Macaca mulatta: one gene and its partners. The protein of the gene in region 4 interacts with the protein of the main gene of each other region in a biochemical or structural test. Links are inferred from orthologs where the notes say so. Each region holds a gene or a part of one and is shown on either strand. Other genes may lie near its edges.

The links.
Region 1: the proteins of MAP2K7 (region 4) and MAPK8IP2 form a complex in vitro, tested with the Homo sapiens proteins (2 studies listed by BioGRID). The link is inferred for Macaca mulatta from reciprocal best matches to the Homo sapiens genes MAP2K7 and MAPK8IP2.
Region 2: the proteins of MAP2K7 (region 4) and GADD45B form a complex in vitro, tested with the Homo sapiens proteins (2 studies listed by BioGRID and IntAct). The link is inferred for Macaca mulatta from reciprocal best matches to the Homo sapiens genes MAP2K7 and GADD45B.
Region 3: of the proteins of MAP2K7 (region 4) and MAP3K11, one has a biochemical effect on the other in vitro, tested with the Homo sapiens proteins (2 studies listed by BioGRID). The link is inferred for Macaca mulatta from reciprocal best matches to the Homo sapiens genes MAP2K7 and MAP3K11.

Annotation. Positions count from the first base shown.
Region 1 is NC_133415.1:846,842-851,852, reverse strand, and holds the start of MAPK8IP2 (C-Jun-amino-terminal kinase-interacting protein 2), read left to right. Parts: upstream 1-2,018; 5' UTR 2,019-2,025; coding exon 2,026-2,090; intron 2,091-2,974; coding exon 2,975-3,080; intron 3,081-4,408; coding exon 4,409-4,684; intron 4,685-4,817; coding exon 4,818-4,911; intron 4,912-5,011. UniProt on the Homo sapiens protein: The JNK-interacting protein (JIP) group of scaffold proteins selectively mediates JNK signaling by aggregating specific components of the MAPK cascade to form a functional JNK signaling module.
Region 2 is NC_133424.1:3,218,058-3,222,133, forward strand, and holds GADD45B (growth arrest and DNA damage-inducible protein GADD45 beta), read left to right. Parts: upstream 1-1,895; 5' UTR 1,896-2,054; coding exon 2,055-2,098; intron 2,099-2,224; coding exon 2,225-2,326; intron 2,327-2,725; coding exon 2,726-2,948; intron 2,949-3,187; coding exon 3,188-3,301; 3' UTR 3,302-3,383; downstream 3,384-4,076.
Region 3 is NC_133419.1:8,776,900-8,781,869, forward strand, and holds the start of MAP3K11 (mitogen-activated protein kinase kinase kinase 11), read left to right. Parts: upstream 1-1,977; 5' UTR 1,978-2,469; coding exon 2,470-3,208; intron 3,209-4,970. UniProt on the Homo sapiens protein: Activates the JUN N-terminal pathway. Required for serum-stimulated cell proliferation and for mitogen and cytokine activation of MAPK14 (p38), MAPK3 (ERK) and MAPK8 (JNK1) through phosphorylation and activation of MAP2K4/MKK4 and MAP2K7/MKK7.
Region 4 is NC_133424.1:8,776,950-8,781,649, reverse strand, and holds the start of MAP2K7 (dual specificity mitogen-activated protein kinase kinase 7), read right to left. Parts: upstream 3,402-4,700; 5' UTR 3,030-3,401; intron 2,635-3,029; exon of another isoform or gene 2,284-2,634; intron 2,189-2,283; 5' UTR 1,710-2,188; coding exon 1,363-1,709; intron 1,199-1,362; coding exon 1,132-1,198; intron 1,003-1,131; coding exon 889-1,002; intron 810-888; coding exon 690-809; intron 545-689; coding exon 437-544; intron 351-436; coding exon 171-350; intron 80-170; coding exon 1-79. UniProt on the Homo sapiens protein: Dual specificity protein kinase which acts as an essential component of the MAP kinase signal transduction pathway. Essential component of the stress-activated protein kinase/c-Jun N-terminal kinase (SAP/JNK) signaling pathway.

The DNA of each region.
Region 1 (5,011 bases), on a different chromosome or scaffold from region 4:
GGCTCAATCAGGCCCTGGCCACAGGCCTCTCTCTGAGCTGGAATGGCAATACTTCCCTTCCCGACTGGCATGAGCTGCTTCTGCCATGTACTTTCTAGTGTTTGTCACTCAAGTGCCTCGTCCTTTCCTAAGGAATAATTTCCAGGCCAGGCGCAGTAGCTCACATCTGTAATCCCAGCACTTTGGGAGGCCAAGGAGGGTGGATCACCTGAGGTCAGGAGTTTGGGACCAGCCTGCCCAACATGGTGAAAACCCATCTCTACTAAAAACACAAAAATTAGGCGGATGTGGTGGTGATTGCCTGTAATCCCAGCTACTCGGGAGACTGAGGCACGAGAATCACTTGAACCTGGGAGGCAGAGTTTACATTGAGCTGAGATCATGCCACTGCACTCCAGCCTGGGCGACAGAGCAAGTTCTGCCTCAAAAAAAAAAAAAAAAAAAAAAAAAAGGAATTTTCCACAGAACTAAGACGTAAATCTTAGGGCACATAACTTTCATCAAGGGGGAAAAGGGATTGCACTCTTGTTGAAACTCCAGCCTCCTTCTTTAGCCAATATTTAGCCAGGTGCTGTGGTTCACACCTGTAATCCCAGCACTTTGGGAGGCTGAGGCCAGAGGATAGCTGAGTCCAGGAGCTCAAGACCAACCTGGGCAATACAGAGAGCCGGTCTCTCTCTCTCTCTCTCTCTCTCTCTCTCTCTCTCTCTCTCTCTCTCTCTCTCTCTCTCTCTCTCTCTCTCTCTCTCTTCCCCCTCTCTCTCTCTATTTATTTATTTGAGTCGGAGTCTTGCTCTTGTCACCAGGCTGGAGTGCAGTGGCGCAATCTCGTCTCACTGCAACCTCCTCCTCCCAGGTTCAAATGATTCTCCTGCCTCAGCCTCCCGAGTCACTGGGACTACAGGCGCGCACCACCATGCCCGGCTAATTCTTTTGTATTTTCAGTAGAGATGGGGTTTCCCCATGTTGGCCAGGATGGTCTCGATCTCTTGACGTCGTGATCCACCCGCCTCGGCCTCCCAAAGTGGTGGGATTACAGGCATGAGCCACCGCGCCCGGCCACCGGTCTCTATTTTAGAAAGAAAAAAAGTGTTCTGCAGTCTCCCTAGTTCTGCGCCCTCAACCCTGATCTCCTGCCTCCTCCCACAGCCACCCTCTTGAGCTCAGCTTCAACCATGGCCCTCCCCACAGGGCTCCATCCCAAGCCAGAGCGGGTCAGCTCCCTACACAGGGCCCAGCAACACGGTGCCCAAGAAAAAGTGTTTCCAATGGGACGCACATCGCCTCTGTGGGTGCTAACTTCTCCCATGCCTGTCGGTACCTCTGTCCGGCTGTGCAGTCTCTACTGAGTGCTCAAAGTCCACTTTTGACCCCGGCCAGCATCCTCTGAGTACCGTGTGCTCGATTCCGAATCCAGCCCTGCTGGGCGACCCTTGTGCAGACGTCCCTGTGCAGCCCGGTCAGCACCCCGTGGGGACAGCTCCGATCAGCACCCGACGGCGGACAGCTCCTCCCGCGCCTCCCGCCTCGCCCGCCACCCAGCTCAGGGCCGCACCCGGGTTAGGGTTCCTGGGGGGACCCCTGGGGGCGGCGGCGCAGCTCCTGGGGCCGCCCCGGCCTCTCGCCAGAGGGAACAGCCCACGGTGCACCCGAGGCCCGCGGACCCCGGCGCTGCCTCTCCGGCCTCCCGCCCCGCGCGGGTCCTCCAGGGCGGGGCCCGACGCCCACCCGCCCTCCCCTTCCCTCCCGCCCCTCCCCGTGAAAAATCCTCCTCGCACGCCCGGTCCTTCCCCAACCAGCGCCCGGCAGTGAAGCCGCCGCCTCTCCTCCAACCAGCGTCCCCGGCCGCGTCCCTCCCCCGCCTCCCCCGCCGCCCTCCCCGCGCCGCCGCGCAGTCCGGGCGAGGTGCGCGGGGCGGGCGCCGCAGGGCGTGTCACGAGGTGAGCGGGGCGGGCCGAGCGCGGGCGCGGGGCGCGGCGAGGCTCCCGCACCCCCCGCCGCAGTCGCGGGCCTCTCCCGGAGAAGATGGCGGATCGCGCGGAGATGTTTTCTCTCTCCACCTTCCACTCGCTGTCGCCGCCGGGCTGCAGGTACCCCCTCGGCGCCCGGGCCGGGCGGGCCCTCCGCTCCCTGCGCCCCGCCGACCCCGACCCGCCCGGACCCCCGTCCCCGCCGCCGGCGCGGACCCGGCCCCAGCCCCCTGCGGTCCTTGAGCCTCGGCTCGGGCGCCCCACCCCCACCCGCTCCCACTCCCTCCGTCTTCACCGCGCGGCCCCAGCCTCCGTGACCCCCGGCCCCGCCGGGATTCTGAGCCGCGCCCGGCCTGGACCGCTGACCTGGCAAGGGTGGAGGCCCTGGGCCGACCCTCTGCGGGGGAGGATGCGGGCGCGATGCGGGCACACCCTCCCAGCGCGGCGTGTCCCGGTGGCCTTGGCCTCCTTCAGTGGACGCCAGACCTGGCCGATAGGGCCCGGCCGGGAGAGAGTGGAAATCAAGCCCGGGGCCCTGCGGGAAGGGACTGGGGTGGGGAGGACGCTGGGCCTCTGGGTTTAGGCCTCACTCCGCCAGCGAGGGGGAGACAAACAGGCCAGACTCTCCTCCCAGAGCAGGCGCGACCCCTCCCCATCTGCCGCTGCCGGGTTGCAGCCCCCCCTCCCGTGCTCTGCAAGACCTTGACCCCAGGGGCCTGGAGCTGCGAGTGGAGGGAGGAGAGGCTGCTGGCTCTCCAGGGAGGCGGGGTGGGAGGGGTGGGGGCAGGGTTGGCTGCTCTGGGCAGGCCTGGCTCAGACGGGGGAGGGGATCCACAGGAGAGCAGAGCTTGGGGGTCAAGATGATGGCAGGATGTGTTCCGGGAGCTGGGGGTTGTGGAGACCACGGGGCGGAGGAGCTGAGGCCGCGCTCTGCTCCTTCTCAAGGCCAGTTCCCAGGCAGAGAGTCCAGGTTGGTAGCTCTCTGACCCTGGTCTCCTTTCCAGGCCTCCCCAGGACATAAGCCTGGAAGAGTTTGACGACGAAGATCTGTCTGAGATCACTGATGACTGTGGCCTGGGCCTCAGCTACGACTCAGACCACTGTGAGAAGGTGGGGGAAGAGTTGGGGGCACAGATCCAGCTTAAGGGAGGGCCTCATTAGGTTCTTCTTAGCATTCACTTGGGGTTTTAGGGTGGGTGTGAGCTCAGCCTTGAACCGGGGACTCCTCTGATAGCTCCTCCCCACTTAACCCTTGAGGTTTCCTTGGTATCAACCCTCTCTTATTCCAATACATTGCAGGCCTCCACGCAAGGCCTTCCCCAGCATTCTCCCCGACACCATCAGTGGCCAGACCGGGACAGGGAGGTGCTCTTTTGCTTTGGGTGCCCTCTGTCCTCAGATCACTCCCAGAAAGATCTAACCCCTGGCAGCTGCCATCACAACCTTGTCCCATCCGCAGCCCTGTGCTCTCGTCTGCAGCTCCCATCTGTCTCTCTCATGTCTCCCCCCGCTGAAATCGTTTCTCCCCCATCTCCTGCTTCTCCTTCTCCCTGTCTCTCCACATTTCTGCTTTCATTTATTGAAGAACAGTTCTGGGCAACTGCCATGTGGCAAGTACTGGGGGCTTCTGGGGGCTGGGAGTGGAACAGGATAGCTGCCCTCCGGAGCTGCAACTTAGTAGAGGAGAAAGACTTGTAAGGGACAATGACTGCCCACGTGTCAAGGGCTGCATTCCAACAGAGACATAAGTTCCACAAGGGGGAAGGGAACCCAATCCACACTGAAGGAATCAGGGAGAATTTCCAGAGGAAATGTCAACCATGCCCTGAGGTTAGCAGAGCCAGGCAGATGGGGTAGGTAGGAGGGAATGGAGGAGAGGAAGTGCCAGCATGGGAATTAACTGTGCCAATGGCCCTGGGGTTGGTGCAAAGTTGGTGAATCCTCAGAGTGCAGGCTGTCTCTACGTTTATGCGTTTGTTTGATATTTACTGAACATACGCTGAGCCCCAGGTCTTGTTCTTAGGGGTGGGTGCAACAGTGCACAACATGGATGTGACCCTGCCCTGGTGGGGCTTGCAACAGACTAAAAAACCATGTCCAGTAACTGTAAGCTGTGTTAAAATGCTGTGAAGGGAACACAGTGCTGGTGTCAAATGTGATGGGGTTCTGCAGTGAGATGAGTCTAAAAGCGGGGCTGGGGCTGCTCTGAGAATCCCTGTCATTCAGCTGTAGAGTTTTTTGGGTCCTTCCCAAGAACTGGAGTGATCCCGACGTGTCTTAAGCAGATTTTAAAAACATCGCCCTGTAGACAGAGGGGCAGAGTGAGCTGGAAGGGGCTGTCCTTTGACTGATGCACGCCGATTTCCCTTCTCCTGCACCTGGACCCCGGGCTGCTGCTGCTCTCTGGCCCAGCCCTGCTATCTCCCTCCCTCCTGCAGGACAGCCTCTCCCTGGGGCGCTCGGAGCAGCCGCACCCCATCTGCTCCTTCCAGGATGACTTCCAGGAGTTTGAGATGATCGATGACAATGAAGAGGAGGACGATGAGGACGAGGAAGAGGAGGAGGAGGAGGAGGAGGGAGATGAGGAAGGCCAGGAGGGAGGAGACCCTGGCTCAGAGGCACCTGCCCCTGGTCCCCTTATCCCCTCCCCTTCTCTGGAGGAGCCCCATAAGCACCGGCCAACCACCCTCCGTCTGACCACACTGGGGGCCCAGGTGAGTGCCCCGACCCACAGCTCCTTGGAGCTGAGCCTGGGTTCATAGCACCTGGGACTCTGCAGCCAGCCCTGCTCACCCCCTGGGAGCTGGAGGCCCTCCTCAGGACGGCCATCATGTATCTCCACCCCAGGACTCCCTGAACAACAACGGAGGCTTTGACCTGGTGCCTCCGGCCTCCTGGCAAGAGACAGCGCTGTGCTCACCCGCCCCGGAGGCCCTCAGAGGTGAGGGGTGGTGGGCCCGCGGGCCACGGTGAAGTGGGGGGGGGGGAGGGGAGGGAGGATGGGCTGGTTGCTGAAAGAGGCCTGGATGGTGCAGAGAGGG
Region 2 (4,076 bases), about 5.6 Mb from region 4:
CGCCTGTAATCCCAGCGTGAGGGAACAAAATATCAAAATTGTAAAAAAAGACAGAATCTGACTTTGCACTTATCCCACTCACCTCCCTGACCTTCCCTATCTTCAGCTCATGTTGGCCGTATTGGTCAGGCTGGTCTGGAACTCCTGACCTCAGTTGATCTGCCCGCCTAGGACTCCCAAAGTGCTGGGATTACAGGCGTGATCCACCGCTCCCGGCCGATTTAATTTTTAAAATTAAATTATAAAATATAAATATATATGTTGCCTGCGTAAAACATTGCATATATAAAATTATATGAAACGTTGCAACTGCCACGGTCCCCTTATCCCCCGCCTCCAGCCCAGTGCCCCGCCCGTCCATCCCTCTCTTCCGGCGCTGAGGGCGCAGAAACTCTGCGCGGCCACCAGATGGCGCCGCCGCGCCTCGCAGCCCCGGGACATTTCGTGCCCCCCGGCGGTGGGCGGCGCGGAGGAGGCGGGATGCGTCAGCTGGGCTCGCGGGCCAGGGAGCCGGGGAACCGGGGAAACCGAGCCGCAGGGCCGAGGCCAGACCCCAGGCTGGCGGGGGAGGGGACTCAGATGTGAGTCACCCGGGAGCCCCCAGTCGACCGTGGGAGACGTTGTCATGCGGGGCCTGCCCGCTTCGTTCCTAAGCAGCCTTCCTGGGGCGGCGGAGTCCTGCAGGCGGCCGTGCCTGGCGCACAGGCGTGGCTCCAACACGAACTAGCCTGTGGCCTCACCAAGCCTCAGTTTACCCTTTTGCATAATGCACATAAGCATCTCCCCTGCTTCTCAGGTCTTGGATTAAATCATCCATGAATCGGGAGGGGTGGAGGGTGCCAGATCCGCACCACGCTCAGTGCAGGTCAGCGCCCACCCCGGAGTGAGAAATAAAGGTGGCCGTCATCCTTGCACGTGGGCCTGGGGTGGCGGCGTGCAGCCGCAGCCTGCACCATTCCCCCCAACAATGGCTTTCTCCTCGGCCTGGAGGCCTCCGCACGCGCAAAGCCTGGAACGCCAGGCAGCTGGCGGGGGCGGGGCCACGCCACCTGCACCTCCCACGCGCGCCCCACCCTGAAACTCGCGGGGTCGGCGAGGGGGCGCCCGCTTTCTTCTCCAGAGTGCCCCGGGCTTTGCAACCTCCCACTTTCGGGGCCCTGGAGGAGGCCTCCCGCGACCACCAGGTGACAGATGATGTGTATTGAGCGCTTACTGTCAGCCGTATTTTATGTCATGCTCTGCAAACCAGCGAGGCCGGCGCTGCAGCCCCATTACTCAGACAGGAATATAGAGGCCGGGAAAAGCGAAATCACCCAGGGGCTGGGGTCGCCGCAGCCAGGAGAGACTCCGGTCATCACCACCACCTGGGCGAGATCAGGCTGCAAACGGGGCCCCTTCCCGGTGCAGCCCCTCCACCCCCAGCAGAACTTGGGAAAGGAGCAGTCCGGGACTCTCCGCGCATCGGGAGGGGATTCCAGGCCCCCCCCGGCGAAAGTCCGGGCCGCCTCGCGCGCTGGAAATCCCGCGCGCGCCCCGAACCGCGGCTCGGCTGCCGGGAAATCAGGAGAAAAAAACTTCTGCTTTTTTTTTTCTTTTCTGGCATTCGCGGTCACCTACCCGGCCCCCGCGCGCCCTCCTCCCGGTTCTCGCCCCCACGTGGGGCGCCCCCACACGGCGCTCCGCCCCCTCCCCGCCGTCGGCCAACCGCAGAGCTGTCTGCACTCTCCGTTGTCCTTCCACCAATAGGAGGGGTGAATGACTCCACTGAGGCCACGCCCCAGCCGTCAAGTCTATAAAAGTCGGTGCCGGAGGCTCCCGGCTCAGATCGCCGAGGCTTCGGACTACGGTTGGTTTCTGCAACTTCCCGGATTATTTTCGCCAAGGACTTTGCAACATTTTTTTCCGCCTTTTCTGGAAGGATTTCGCTGCTTCCCGAAGGTCTTGGACGAGCGCTCCAGCTCCGTGGGAAGGTTTTGGGCTTTCTGGCGCGGATTTTGCAATTTCTCCCTGGGGACTGTCGTGGAGCCGCGTCCACTGTGGATTATAATTGCAACATGACGCTGGAAGAGCTCGTGGCGTGCGACAACGCGGCGCAGAAGTAAGTAGCCGGGGCCGCCGCCGTCTGAGGTCGGCCGGGACGGGATGGGTCGGGTTGGGCCGGGCCGGGAGCGGAATGTAGCACCCGGTGGTCCGCCCGTCACTGATCCCTCTCTCCTGGCCTCAGGATGCAGACGGTGACCGCCGCGGTGGAGGAGCTGTTGGTGGCCGCTCAGCGCCAGGATCGCCTCACAGTGGGGGTGTACGAGTCGGCCAAGTTGATGAATGTGTGAGTCAGACCCCCTCCCCGGGCCGGGCGCGGGTGGGACCGGACCTCCCCTCCGCTCTGGACGCTTTCCACACGCTTGTCTCGCATGGGGCTGGGACTTCCCCAAGTGCCACCCGCTGTGGATGCAGAGCTCCTCTGCTGTTTTGTGGATTGGGGGCTGCCGTATCCTGATGCATCGTCTGCAAGCGCCCCTCCCGCTGTGGGCCTGTCTCCCCACACCCCACACTTTGAACCGTGTGCCTTCCCCGCCCCCCACCGTCACCAGCTTGCAGAGGCAATCCCCTGCACCCCTGCAGTTTCTCTTTTGCTCTTGCACGCTCCTTTTTTTGCAAACTCCCCCTGCACGGTGGCCTCTCCCCTGTTCCCGGCTGACCCACCCCTTCCCTTTGGCCCCCTCAGGGACCCAGACAGCGTGGTCCTCTGCCTCTTGGCCATTGACGAGGAGGAGGAGGATGACATCGCCCTGCAAATCCACTTCACGCTCATCCAGTCCTTCTGCTGCGACAACGACATTAACATCATGCGGGTGTCGGGCATGCAGCGCCTGGCACAGCTCCTGGGAGAGCCGGCCGAGACCCAGGGCACCACTGAGGCCCGAGACCTGCATTGTCTCCTGGTCACGGTGAGTTGGGCCTCTGCCCTGACCTGCCACGCCCGGGCACCTGGGCTGGTGTTTGTCAACAAAGTCGGGCTGACTGGTCCTGCACAGCTCAGCGTTCAACCATGCTTGGCATGTCCCGTGGGCAGCCGGGCTGGGGCCTCCTCACCCAGGGAGCTATTTTGAGCCTGCCTGTTTTCCCCACACATGGGGCCTTGGGAGAGGGAGGCTCCCACTAAACCCCTTCTTTTCCCCTCCCACAGAACCCTCACACCGACGCCTGGAAGAGCCACGGCTTGGTGGAGGTAGCCAGCTACTGCGAAGAAAGCCGGGGCAACAACCAGTGGGTGCCCTACATCTCTCTTCAGGAACGCTGAGGCCCTTCCCAGCAGCAGAACCTGTTGAGTTGCTGCCAAAAACAAAAAATAAAATAAATATTTGAACCCCCCTCCCCCCCAGCACAACCCCCCCAAAACAACCCAACCCACGAAACCATCGGGGGCAGAGTCGTTGGAGACTGAAGAGGAGGAGGAGGAGGAGGAGAAGGGGAGTGAGTGGCCGCCCCCAGGGCGGAGATCGGGGAGCTGGCGGCCGCCGATCCGATGGAGGAGAAGTGGGGACCCAGGCCAGCAGGAGACAGGACCCCGGAGCTCAGGCCTTGGGATGGAGCAGAAGCTGGAGGGGTGGGGCACGCTGCCGCCTTCCCTATCATGGAAGGTCCAGACTCTCCACTTGAGGGTGGAGTGAGACTGACTGCAACCCCCACCCTCCTTGAGACTGGAGCTGGCGTCTGCAGACTAGAGACCTGGTTGAACTTGGTTGGTGCTTGTCTGCACCCTCGACAAGACCACACTTTGGGACTTGGGAGCTGGGGCCGAAGTTGCTCTGTACCCATGAACTCCCAGTTTGCGAATCATAGAGACAATCTATTTTGTTACTTGCACTTGTTACTCGAACCACTGAGAGCGAGATGGGAAGCACAGATATCTATATTTTTATTTCTACTCTGATGACCTTGTAATAAATTTCTAAAGCTTCTGGGTGCTTGTATGTTTTCGGCTTCTGAGAACAACCGGGACCCCTGCCCCCTCCCCTGGGACACGCTTCACACCCCCCCTCCCCACCTCTCCTCCGCAACCCCTGCCAGCTCAC
Region 3 (4,970 bases), on a different chromosome or scaffold from region 4:
GGCCTCACGCTCACGCCATGGCCTCCCCCAGCGGGGGAGGGGGGCTCGGCCGCGCGAGGGTGCGGGCAGGGGGCGGGGCCGACCGGGACAGTCAGCGGTGCAAGGCCCAGACGCGGGGGTGGGGCTGCATCAGGGGCGGGGTCCGCGTCCCCACTCGTGGCCCAGAATTGCTCCGAGGGGCCGAGCCGTCAGGCAGGCGCGGGGCACGGGCCGGGCACCCGTCGGCGGCATCCAGAGGTGGGCGTGGGGTGGATGCTCCCGGGGTGCAGGCGACAGCTCTCTAGTCTCCGGACCAGGGAGAACCCCAGGATCTGGGGTCCACTTCCGGGGTCGCAGGTCACTCGCTTGGGGCTCCGCGCTCGCCCGGCTTCTGCCGGTGCCGGCCTAAGGAAGAGGCCGGAAGAAGGAGCCGCGAGCCGCCAGCCTTCAGTGGCGCATGCGTCCAACGGTTCCAATTGAGACCCGGAAAAGGAAAACTTGACGGCATGAATGCGCAAGCGCAGAGAGGTGGTGGCGCGGTAGGACGCGAGGGGTGCCATTTGTGCGTGCGCAGAGTCCAGAACTAAAGCAAGTACATGCGCAAAAGCGTTTGGGCGCATGCGTACACCCAGGCGTCGCCAACCCAGGGTAGACGACTGGGCGGAACCAAAGAGACAGTTGAGTAGCCATTGGGTAACGGCAAAGTAATTGGCGCACAGCTCTTCCAATGAGTTACAGGAGACGGGGAAAAGATGGAGGCGTGGAATCCCCTAGTTGCAGCGAGTGTTCTGCACTACCGAAGCACGCCCCTCTCGGTCCGCCCCCTTTAATGCTGGACCTCCTACGTCCTGATCGTTTCTCGGCTCCCAGCGGCGTCTACTTCCGGGTCAGAGCTCAGACCTAGGGTGTAGAGAACAACCTTCCGGAACAGGCAGGAATAGTCGAAAAAGGATAGCGTCGTCTTTCTTAAAGTGACAGGCTTAAAGCAATTGGGGCAGCCCTATCCAGAGGTTCTGAGGGCGACTCAGCTATTCTGAATCCAATCGTGGGCAAAGTTCTGGACAAGTCTCAGGATTCTGCCAATGGGGAAGGGATATGAAGAAGCGGATTGTTTCCCAGGTGAGGAGAAGAGCAGAACCTTAGACAATCCACTCCAAGAGCTTGAGGTGCAGCCAGTTCCGTCTGTCCTCCAGTCTTCCCCACCCCATCCCACTAGCTCTGCGAGGCAGAGCTTTCTTGTACTCATATCATATATGAAAAGAATGGCCGGGCGCGGTGGCTCACGCCTGTAATCCCAGCACTTTGGGAGGTCGAGGCGGGCGGATCACGAGGTCAGGGGTTTGAGACCAGCATGGTCAACGTGGTGAAACCCGTCTCTACCAAAAATACAAAAATTAGCCGGCCGTGGTGCCACGCGCCGGTAGTCCCAGCTACTCGGGAGGCTGAGGCAGGAGAATCGCTTGAACCCGGGAGGCAGAGGTTGCAGTGAGCTTAGACTGCGCCATTGCATACCAGCCTGGGTGACAGAGAAAGGACTCCGTCTCAAAAAAAGAAAAAAGAAAGAAAGAAGGAAAATAATGAGGCTCAGAATGGATGGATCGCACAGTCCCACAACTTCGCAGCCAACACCAGACTTGGGTTCACCCCCTTCCCAAGTGTGGTTCTGTAACCCCGTTTTGCTGACGCCAGTGCGGATGCAGAGGACAGAGATGGCCCATCCTTAGCAGAGACCAACCTGCACCCTGGCCAGCAGAGCACGCAGCTGGAGGCTTTTCTTTCTATATCTCAAAGCCTGCTGTGATGGGGAATCTGGTTCTGCCCTTTCCCTCCTCTGCCTCTCCTGGCCCGCCTACCCGGGAACTCCCCTGCTGGAGCCTCTGGGAGGGGAGCGGTGCAGGCCGCCCGCGTCATCTGATGCTGTTTCCTGCAGGAGGGAGAAGAGCGGAAAAAAGTGAAACTCCACCCTCCACCTCTGCCTCCCGCCCCCGAGGCCAAAGTACAAAGGGAGGAGGAAGAAGGGAGCGGGGTCGGAGCCGTCGGGACCAAAGGAGCCGGGGACAGGAACAGGCAGTCTGGGCCCAACTGTGGACGCTCCCTCCACCCCCGCGCAAAAAGACCCAACCGGAGTTGAGGCGCTGCCCCTGGAGGCCCCACCTTACGCTTGGCGGGGGCCGGAGCCAGGCTCCCAGGACTGCTCCAGGACCGAGGGAAGCTCGGGCCCCTCCAAGCTAGCCATGGTGAGGCGTCGGAGGCCCCGGGGCCCCACCCCCCCGGCCTGACCACACTGCCCTGGGTGCCCTCCTCCAGAAGCCCGAGATGCGGGGGGCCGGGAGGCGACACTCCTGGCTCCCCAGAGAGGCGTGGGTCTGGGGCTGAGGGCCAGGGCCCGGATGCCCAGGTTCCGGGACTAGGGCCTTGGCAGCCAGCGGGGGTGGGGACCACGGGCACCCAGAGAAGGTCCTCCACACATCCCAACGCCGGCTCCCGGCCATGGAGCCCTTGAAGAGCCTCTTCCTCAAGAGCCCTCTAGGGTCATGGAATGGCAGTGGCAGCGGGGGTGGTGGGGGCAGTGGAGGAGGCCGGCCTGAGGGGTCTCCAAAGGCAGCGGGTTATGCCAACCCGGTGTGGACAGCCCTGTTCGACTACGAGCCCAGTGGGCAGGACGAGCTGGCCCTGAGGAAGGGTGACCGTGTGGAGGTGCTGTCCCGGGACGCAGCCATCTCAGGAGACGAGGGCTGGTGGGCAGGCCAGGTGGGTGGCCAGGTGGGCATCTTCCCATCCAACTATGTGTCTCGGGGTGGCGGCCCGCCCCCCTGCGAGGTGGCCAGCTTCCAGGAGCTGCGGCTGGAGGAGGTGATCGGCATTGGAGGCTTCGGCAAGGTGTACCGGGGCAGCTGGCGAGGTGAGCTGGTGGCTGTGAAGGCAGCTCGCCAGGACCCCGATGAGGACATCAGTGTGACAGCTGAGAGTGTTCGCCAGGAGGCCCGGCTCTTCGCCATGCTAGCACACCCCAACATCATTGCCCTCAAGGCTGTGTGCCTGGAGGAGCCCAACCTGTGCCTGGTGATGGAGTATGCAGCTGGTGGACCCCTCAGCCGAGCTCTGGCAGGGCGGCGCGTGCCTCCCCATGTGCTGGTTAACTGGGCTGTGCAGATTGCCCGTGGGATGCACTACCTGCACTGCGAGGCCCTGGTGCCCGTCATCCATCGCGACCTCAAGTCCAACAACAGTGAGTTTCTGGCGGCCTGGTTGCGGGTGGCATGGCTCTGGCACACACCTGCTCCCAACCTTCCACTGAGCCTAGCTTAGGGTCTGCTGCAGGTAGGAGCACTCGCCCTAGGGGGTCCCAGCTGACCAGGTGCCCATGGGCTCAAGCTAGCCCCCAAACAGAGCTCCAGGCACCCAGAAGAGTCTTCCTGTCCCAGCCTCAGAAGTCCTTGGCCCCAGCCTGCAGCTGAGGTTTGGACAAGTTAAGAAATTGGGATTTCTCAGGTGGGCCATAAGCATCCTGCCCAGCTCTGCCTCCCACCTCAAGGAAGTCCTCTGGAAGCTCGCGCTCCCCATCTTCTCCTCCCCTAAATTCATATTCGTAGAGTTGGTGCTCTGTCCTCTCCTGTCATCATGGGCAGCTCCTCCAGAACAGATATCTCAGAGAGAGAAGCCCTCCTTGGCAGTCAAGGCCAAGGCCAGGGCTGGAATTCTGGCCTAGCCCTCCCTGGCTGCATGACCTCTAGCTCGTTACTCAAACTCGGAGCCTCAATTTCAGACTCTGTAAAAAGGGAGAGTGAAACAGCTCAACAGCCTGGGCAAGCCTGACCTGCGATCCCCAACCCGCAGCGGGTCTTCAGCCATGGAGATGGGCATTTGAGGGCTGGATCACCAAGAGGGCCTAGCCTGCAATCAGTGCTTGGGGTGGGAGTGCTGGGCTAGGGGAGACTCCATCTCCCACCATTTTAAGCCCCCAACACGCTTTCCATCACGGCCCAAGAGAAGCAAGTGGTAGCTTCAGAGGGCTTCCTGGTGCGCGCAGCATTTAGAGAGCGAAGGCATGGAAGCAGGACCTAGCACACAGCAGGGACCAGGAGCAGGGGCCTCCTAGAGCCCAGGGTGCAGGCTGGAGAGCAGCAGTAGGAAATGCAGGAGGGGCCAGGCTCAGTGGGGTCACTGGAAAAGCATGAGACATTCTTAGAGGGGGGTCCATGTGGATATTTTGAGCCTCCTAGCCTGGGCTGACCATGGACAAGGGGCTTGCAGGAAACAGAGTGCTGAGCCCCAGATATCCAAGTTCTTGCCAGGGCTGGAGGAGCCAGGGGAGGCCTGCCAACCACCCCACCCACTCTTCTCATCCCTTGTAAGGTGCAGTTCCCACCTCTCAGCCTCAACCCTGGGCTCTATCTAGGGACCCCCACTACCTGCCCCAATCTGAGGGGGATTCCCCGAAGGCGCAGGGGGAGGGGACTCCCATCTTCTGTTTTTCCTCCGTTTTCTTTCCAGAAAAAATGGAACAATAGCCCAGGCCCCTGCTCCCCACCCTCCCCACTGCTTCCTGCGTTTCCTGCTGCCCTGAGCCGGCTTCCTGTCCCTGCTCCAGCCCCTGCTCCCTCCCTAGCCCAGCTGCCTGCAGGGGAGGAAAGAGCTGGGGGTGGAGGGCTTGCAGGAGGAAGGAGCCTGGAACTGCTGCCCCACTCCCCTCTAGTTCCCCTGCTTCCCTCTCAGAGTCTGGGAGTTGGTGGTAAAGGGCAGGCAAGGTGCCCTCAGCCTCCCTGAGCCTGGCATTTAACCTCGGAGACCCCAGTCTTAGGCCCAAGTTGCTGTCTGCGGGATTGGGGTGGGGGGAGTCCCTGGGCTTGGGGGGGCACAGGCAAGAAACAATGGCATGATTTTCCTGGACAATGGGGGCCTTGTGAGGAAGCCTGGCGGGGAGAGGAGGGGGAATTCTCCAGGCCCACGAGTCACAGGACTGACCAGCCAGCTCGGCCTGGGCCTGACCT
Region 4 (4,700 bases):
ACGAGATGCCCAGGCTCCATACATCGGCCCGGATGTCATAGTCTGGCTTGGTGGGGTCTGGGGGGTCAATGCGCTCGGGCTACAGGAGGAGGAGGAGGAGAAGATGTATCTCCAAGTCTGGGCCGGGCTCCCAGGCCCCACCCCTCCCCCGCTGGAGGGCCCCCACTCACCGCCATGTAGGCTGCACAGCCGGCGCTCCGCGTTTTGGCTTTGGAGTCCACCAGGCGGCCGCTGATGCCGAAGTCGCAAAGCTTGATCTGGCCCCGCTCGTCCAGCAGGATGTTGGAGGGCTTGACGTCGCGGTGGATGACACCGTGCTTCTCCTTCAGGTAGTACAGCGCCTTCACAATCTGCAGGTAGGCAGAAGAGGGTGCATGTGACCGGGGGCACAGGCCCAAGGCCACCTGCCCGGTGCACGCCCCCCCTGGCCACTCACCGCCACTGTCATCTTGCCCAGGATGCGCTCGGGGATGGGGCCCTGCATCCGCTTCTTGAGCTTCTCGGCACAGGTGCCCATGAGCTCCATGGCGATGAAGACGTCCGTCTGCAGTAAGAGGGGGTTCCCGGGGGAGCTGTGTCTTCTGGCCCAGCCCCCAGAGGCTCTGCTCCCTGGGAAGGGGCAGGGGGTGAGGGAGGAGGAGACCCTGCAGGGTGCGGGGGGGGGGCACCTGGCACGGCTGGGGACTCACGTTGGTGATAAACGTCCCAAAGCACTGCACAATGTAAGGGCAGTCATGGCTCTTGAGCACCACATCCAGGTCCATGAGGATACGCTTGTTCTCCTCCTTGTTCCCCGAGCGCCGCATTTGCTGCACAGGCAGGGACAGGAGGGAGTCTTAGCACCGGCCCGGGGTGTGGGGCGCAGCTGGGGTAGCCGCCAAGGCTCACCTTAACGGCAATGACGTGGCCGGTCTTCCGGAAGCGCATCTTCCACACCTGGCCGCAGGTGCCGCTGCCCATCTCACCCAAGTTCTCCAGGTCATTGATTTCTGCCTGGTAGCGCTGGGAGGAGAGGGAGGGTTGGAGGGTCCCCGGGGCCTCTGTCACCGCCCCCCGCCCCCCACTGGCACCCCCAGGATGGGTCCAGCCTGGCTGGGCCTCCTCCCTCTCCCGCCACAGTGAAGGTGGTACCTGGCCCCCGATGGTCAGGTAGCCCGTCTGCTTCATGATCTCCTGCAGCTTCTGGTCAATCTCAATGCTGGGGACACGGAGCAGGTGCCGGTGGAGGTGGGTCCTGACCTTAGGTTGGCCACCCCAGCCCCCCATACCGGGGTTCTCACCGGTTTAACCGCCCTCCCCGAGGCTGGCACGGTGGCCCCTCAATGCTGCTTCCCACCCAACCCTGCCAGGCCCCTGGCTCACCTCTCCATGCTTCGAGGCGTGAACAGGGTTGACGGGAGCCCCAGCATGTGGCGGGGCCGGGCGGGGGGCGTGGGGTGCTGCGGGGAGCTCTCCGAGGATGGCGAGCGGCTGCCCCCATCGTTGGCCAGCGGGAGCTGCAGGGCTGGGGGGGTGAGAACCAGTGGCAGGGGAGGGGTCAGCACCCAGCTGGTCTCAGCTCCACATCTGGCACTCCAGGGAGAGGTCGGGACCCTCACCTTCCCCTCCTGGGCTTCCCTAGCTAGGCCGGCACAGCCCCTGCCCTGCTGGGCTGGAGGAGCTGGGGTCTCCCTCCCACCCCAGACTGTCCTCAGGGTCCCTTGTCTCATCCCCTGACGTGGAAAGAAATGGAAGAGGCTGGCAGGGGAGAGGGAGCCCCAAGTCTACGCTGACGGAGAAATGAGACGGGGACCTGAGGTGTCCCTCGGCCGGGCAGCCTCCCTGACAGGTGTGGGCGCTTCCTCCCACTTCTGCCCAGGAAGCAGGCCCAGGACCACAGCGCCCACAGGCTGGATAGGCGGGGGTGGAGTGCCTGCCAGGGCTGGCCCGGGCTGTGGCCCTGCTGGTAGCACTAAACTTGGCTCCCAGACGAGAGCGAGCGGGGCCACCCTGGGGAGGCAGTGGGCACGAGACCCAGGTTTCAGGCTGCCTTGCCCCATGTTCTGTTCCGGGGTCAGGAGGGCCCCCTCGGGCCAGTGGGCTGACACGGGGGCCTCCCGGCCTGGCCTGCAGAGCTGGGGCCCGTGGGGGCAGGACAGGACCTCAGGGGGCCTGCATCATCTGGGAAGAGAGTTGGGGGGCACAGCTCCTGCAGGGGCTGGCGGGACCAGGTGGGGCCAATGCTGGGCCAGGCAGGGGTTGGCTCATCCAGCAGCCTGCATGCGGGCAGCTCGGGCATGCTACAGCGGGCGGGCAGGCGGCGGGCACCCTGGGGCAGGCAGGCAGCATTAGGGGTGGGAGGGCAGGAGACAGACAGACAGACAGAAACCAAGACTTGGGCCCAGGTGCCCAGAGGAGGCACTGCACAGACAGGCCAGAGAGGGGCCTGGGACAGGAGGGCAGCTTCCTGGAGGAGCTAGGGTCTCCCTGGCTGGGCTGGCGATGGGGTGCAGGAACAGAGGCCGGGATGCCAACGTGGCCTCCAGAGGAGCCAATCCTGACACCTCACATCCCAGAGGCCCTGACAACAGCTACACACACCTCCCAAGGTGCCCCTCCCACAGGGGCTGGGGCCTGCCGCTCTCCCAAAGCCCTCAACGGACAGCCCCCTCTCTTCCTCCTGCCTCGTCCACCTTTTCTTCCCACAGTTCTGCAGGCTCCTGGTGACTGGTGCCCAGGGACTAACACGAACAGACAGACCCGCTCCATGCTGGCAGCTAAACCCCGTCCCTCCCCTGGGTGCCTGGGACCCTGATCTCAGCCAGTAGAAGAGGCAGGAGGACGCTGACCTCAGTCTCAATCAGGAGGCCCAGCACTGCCCCTACCTGGTCCCACCAGCCCCTGCAGGAGCTGTGTCCCCTTGCTCCCCTCCTGGAGGACCAGGCAGGAGCTGGGGAAGGGCTCCGGGGACCTGGGGACACAGTCAGGCCCAGCTTTCCTAACTGGCCTAGAGGCCTCACCTCCCGTGCCCCTCCCGCTGTCCTGGCCACTGCAGCCTCCACAGCACCATGTCACCTCCCACTGGTGCTTTTTTTTTTCTTTTTTTTTCGAGATAGGTTCTCACTCTGTCGCCCAGGCTGGAGTGCAATGGCGTGATCTCAACTCACTGCAACCTCCACCTCCCAGGTTCAAGTGATTCTCCTGCCTCAGCCTCCTGAGTAGCTGGGATTATAGGCACACGCCACCATGCCCAACTAATCTTTGTCTTTTTAGTAGAGACGGGATCTCGCTGCGTTGGCCAGGTTCCCCCCTCTGCTTCTTCAGGTCCTTGTGCCTCTGCTCTGTCCATGGCCCGAGCCACAGCCCCGATCCTCTTCTGGCTCCCGAGGGCCTGTGCTCTCCTCACACCCAGCCCCCAACCCCTGTGCACCTGGTGTCTCTTGAGATACTGCGTGGTTCCCGCCCTCAGAGAGTATCTGAGTCCCACTCCCGCCCTGCACTCAGGGGGTGAGGACCACAGCCCTCGAGGAGTCCTGTGGGCCCCCTCCCCGGCACAGCCCACCAGGCCTTCTGAGGGCAGCCCCAGAGCCTGGGGAGGAGGCTGCTGGCCTGCAGACTGGAGCACGGGGGAATGGAAGGGAGGGCTCAGGTAGGCACTGGGGGAAGGAGGTACACAAAGGCCCTGAGAACAGAGGCCACAGCGGTGGTGATGGCCACATGGCAGCTCAGGAGGGTGGAGTGACAGCAAGAGGGTGAGGATGAGAGAGAAAGAACGGATGAGAGAGAGCGAGAGGCTGGAGGGCACGTGTGTGCTGACAGGAGCCACAGGTGTGCAGGCTGCCATGTCAACATGCACACGCACGCCGTGCAAGTGCACACAAGCACAACACACACGCGGGGCGTGCCGCTGTGGACCCAACACCCGTGCAGCTGGGACAGAGTCCCCATTGCCCATCGGACACACACACACTCACAGTCACTCACAGGGCCAGGCACCTCATCTACTCCCTCTCCCAACACAGGCATGGGGCACAGCCTGCATGCCCACCACAGGCTGGCACTACGCTCAGAGCCCGGGCAGGGCTGTCTTCTCTCCCCCCACCTCCTTCAAGACGCTTTTTACATTTGTTTTGTTTTGTTTTGAGACGGAGTCTTGCTCTGTTGCCCAGGCTGGAGTGCAGTGGCACGACCTGAGTTCACTGCAACTTCCACCTAATCTCTTTTGTTTTTTTTTTTTTTAGATGGAGTTTCACTCTTGTTGCCCAGGCTGGAGTGCAATGGAGTGATCTCGGCTCACTGCAACCTCCGCCTCCCGGGTTCAAGCTATTCTCCTGCCTCGGTCTCCCGAGTAGCTGGGATTACAGGCATGCGTCACCATGCCCGCCTGATTTGTATTTTCAGTGGAGACGGGGTTTCTCTATGTTGGGGTCTCGAACTCCCGACCACAGGTGATCCACCCGCCTTGGCCTCCCAAAGTGCTGGGATTACAGGTGTGAGCCACCGCGCCTGGCTTAATGTCTTGCATTCTTAATAGCGACAGGGTTTCACCATGTTGGTCAGGCTGGTCTCGAACTCCTGACCTCAAGAGATCCACCCTCCTTGGCTTCCCAAAATACTGAAATTACAGGCATCAGCCACTGCGCCTGGCCCGTTTTTTAAATTTTTGAGACAGGATCTTACTCTGTCACCCAGGCTGGGGTGCAGTGGTGTGATCATGGCTC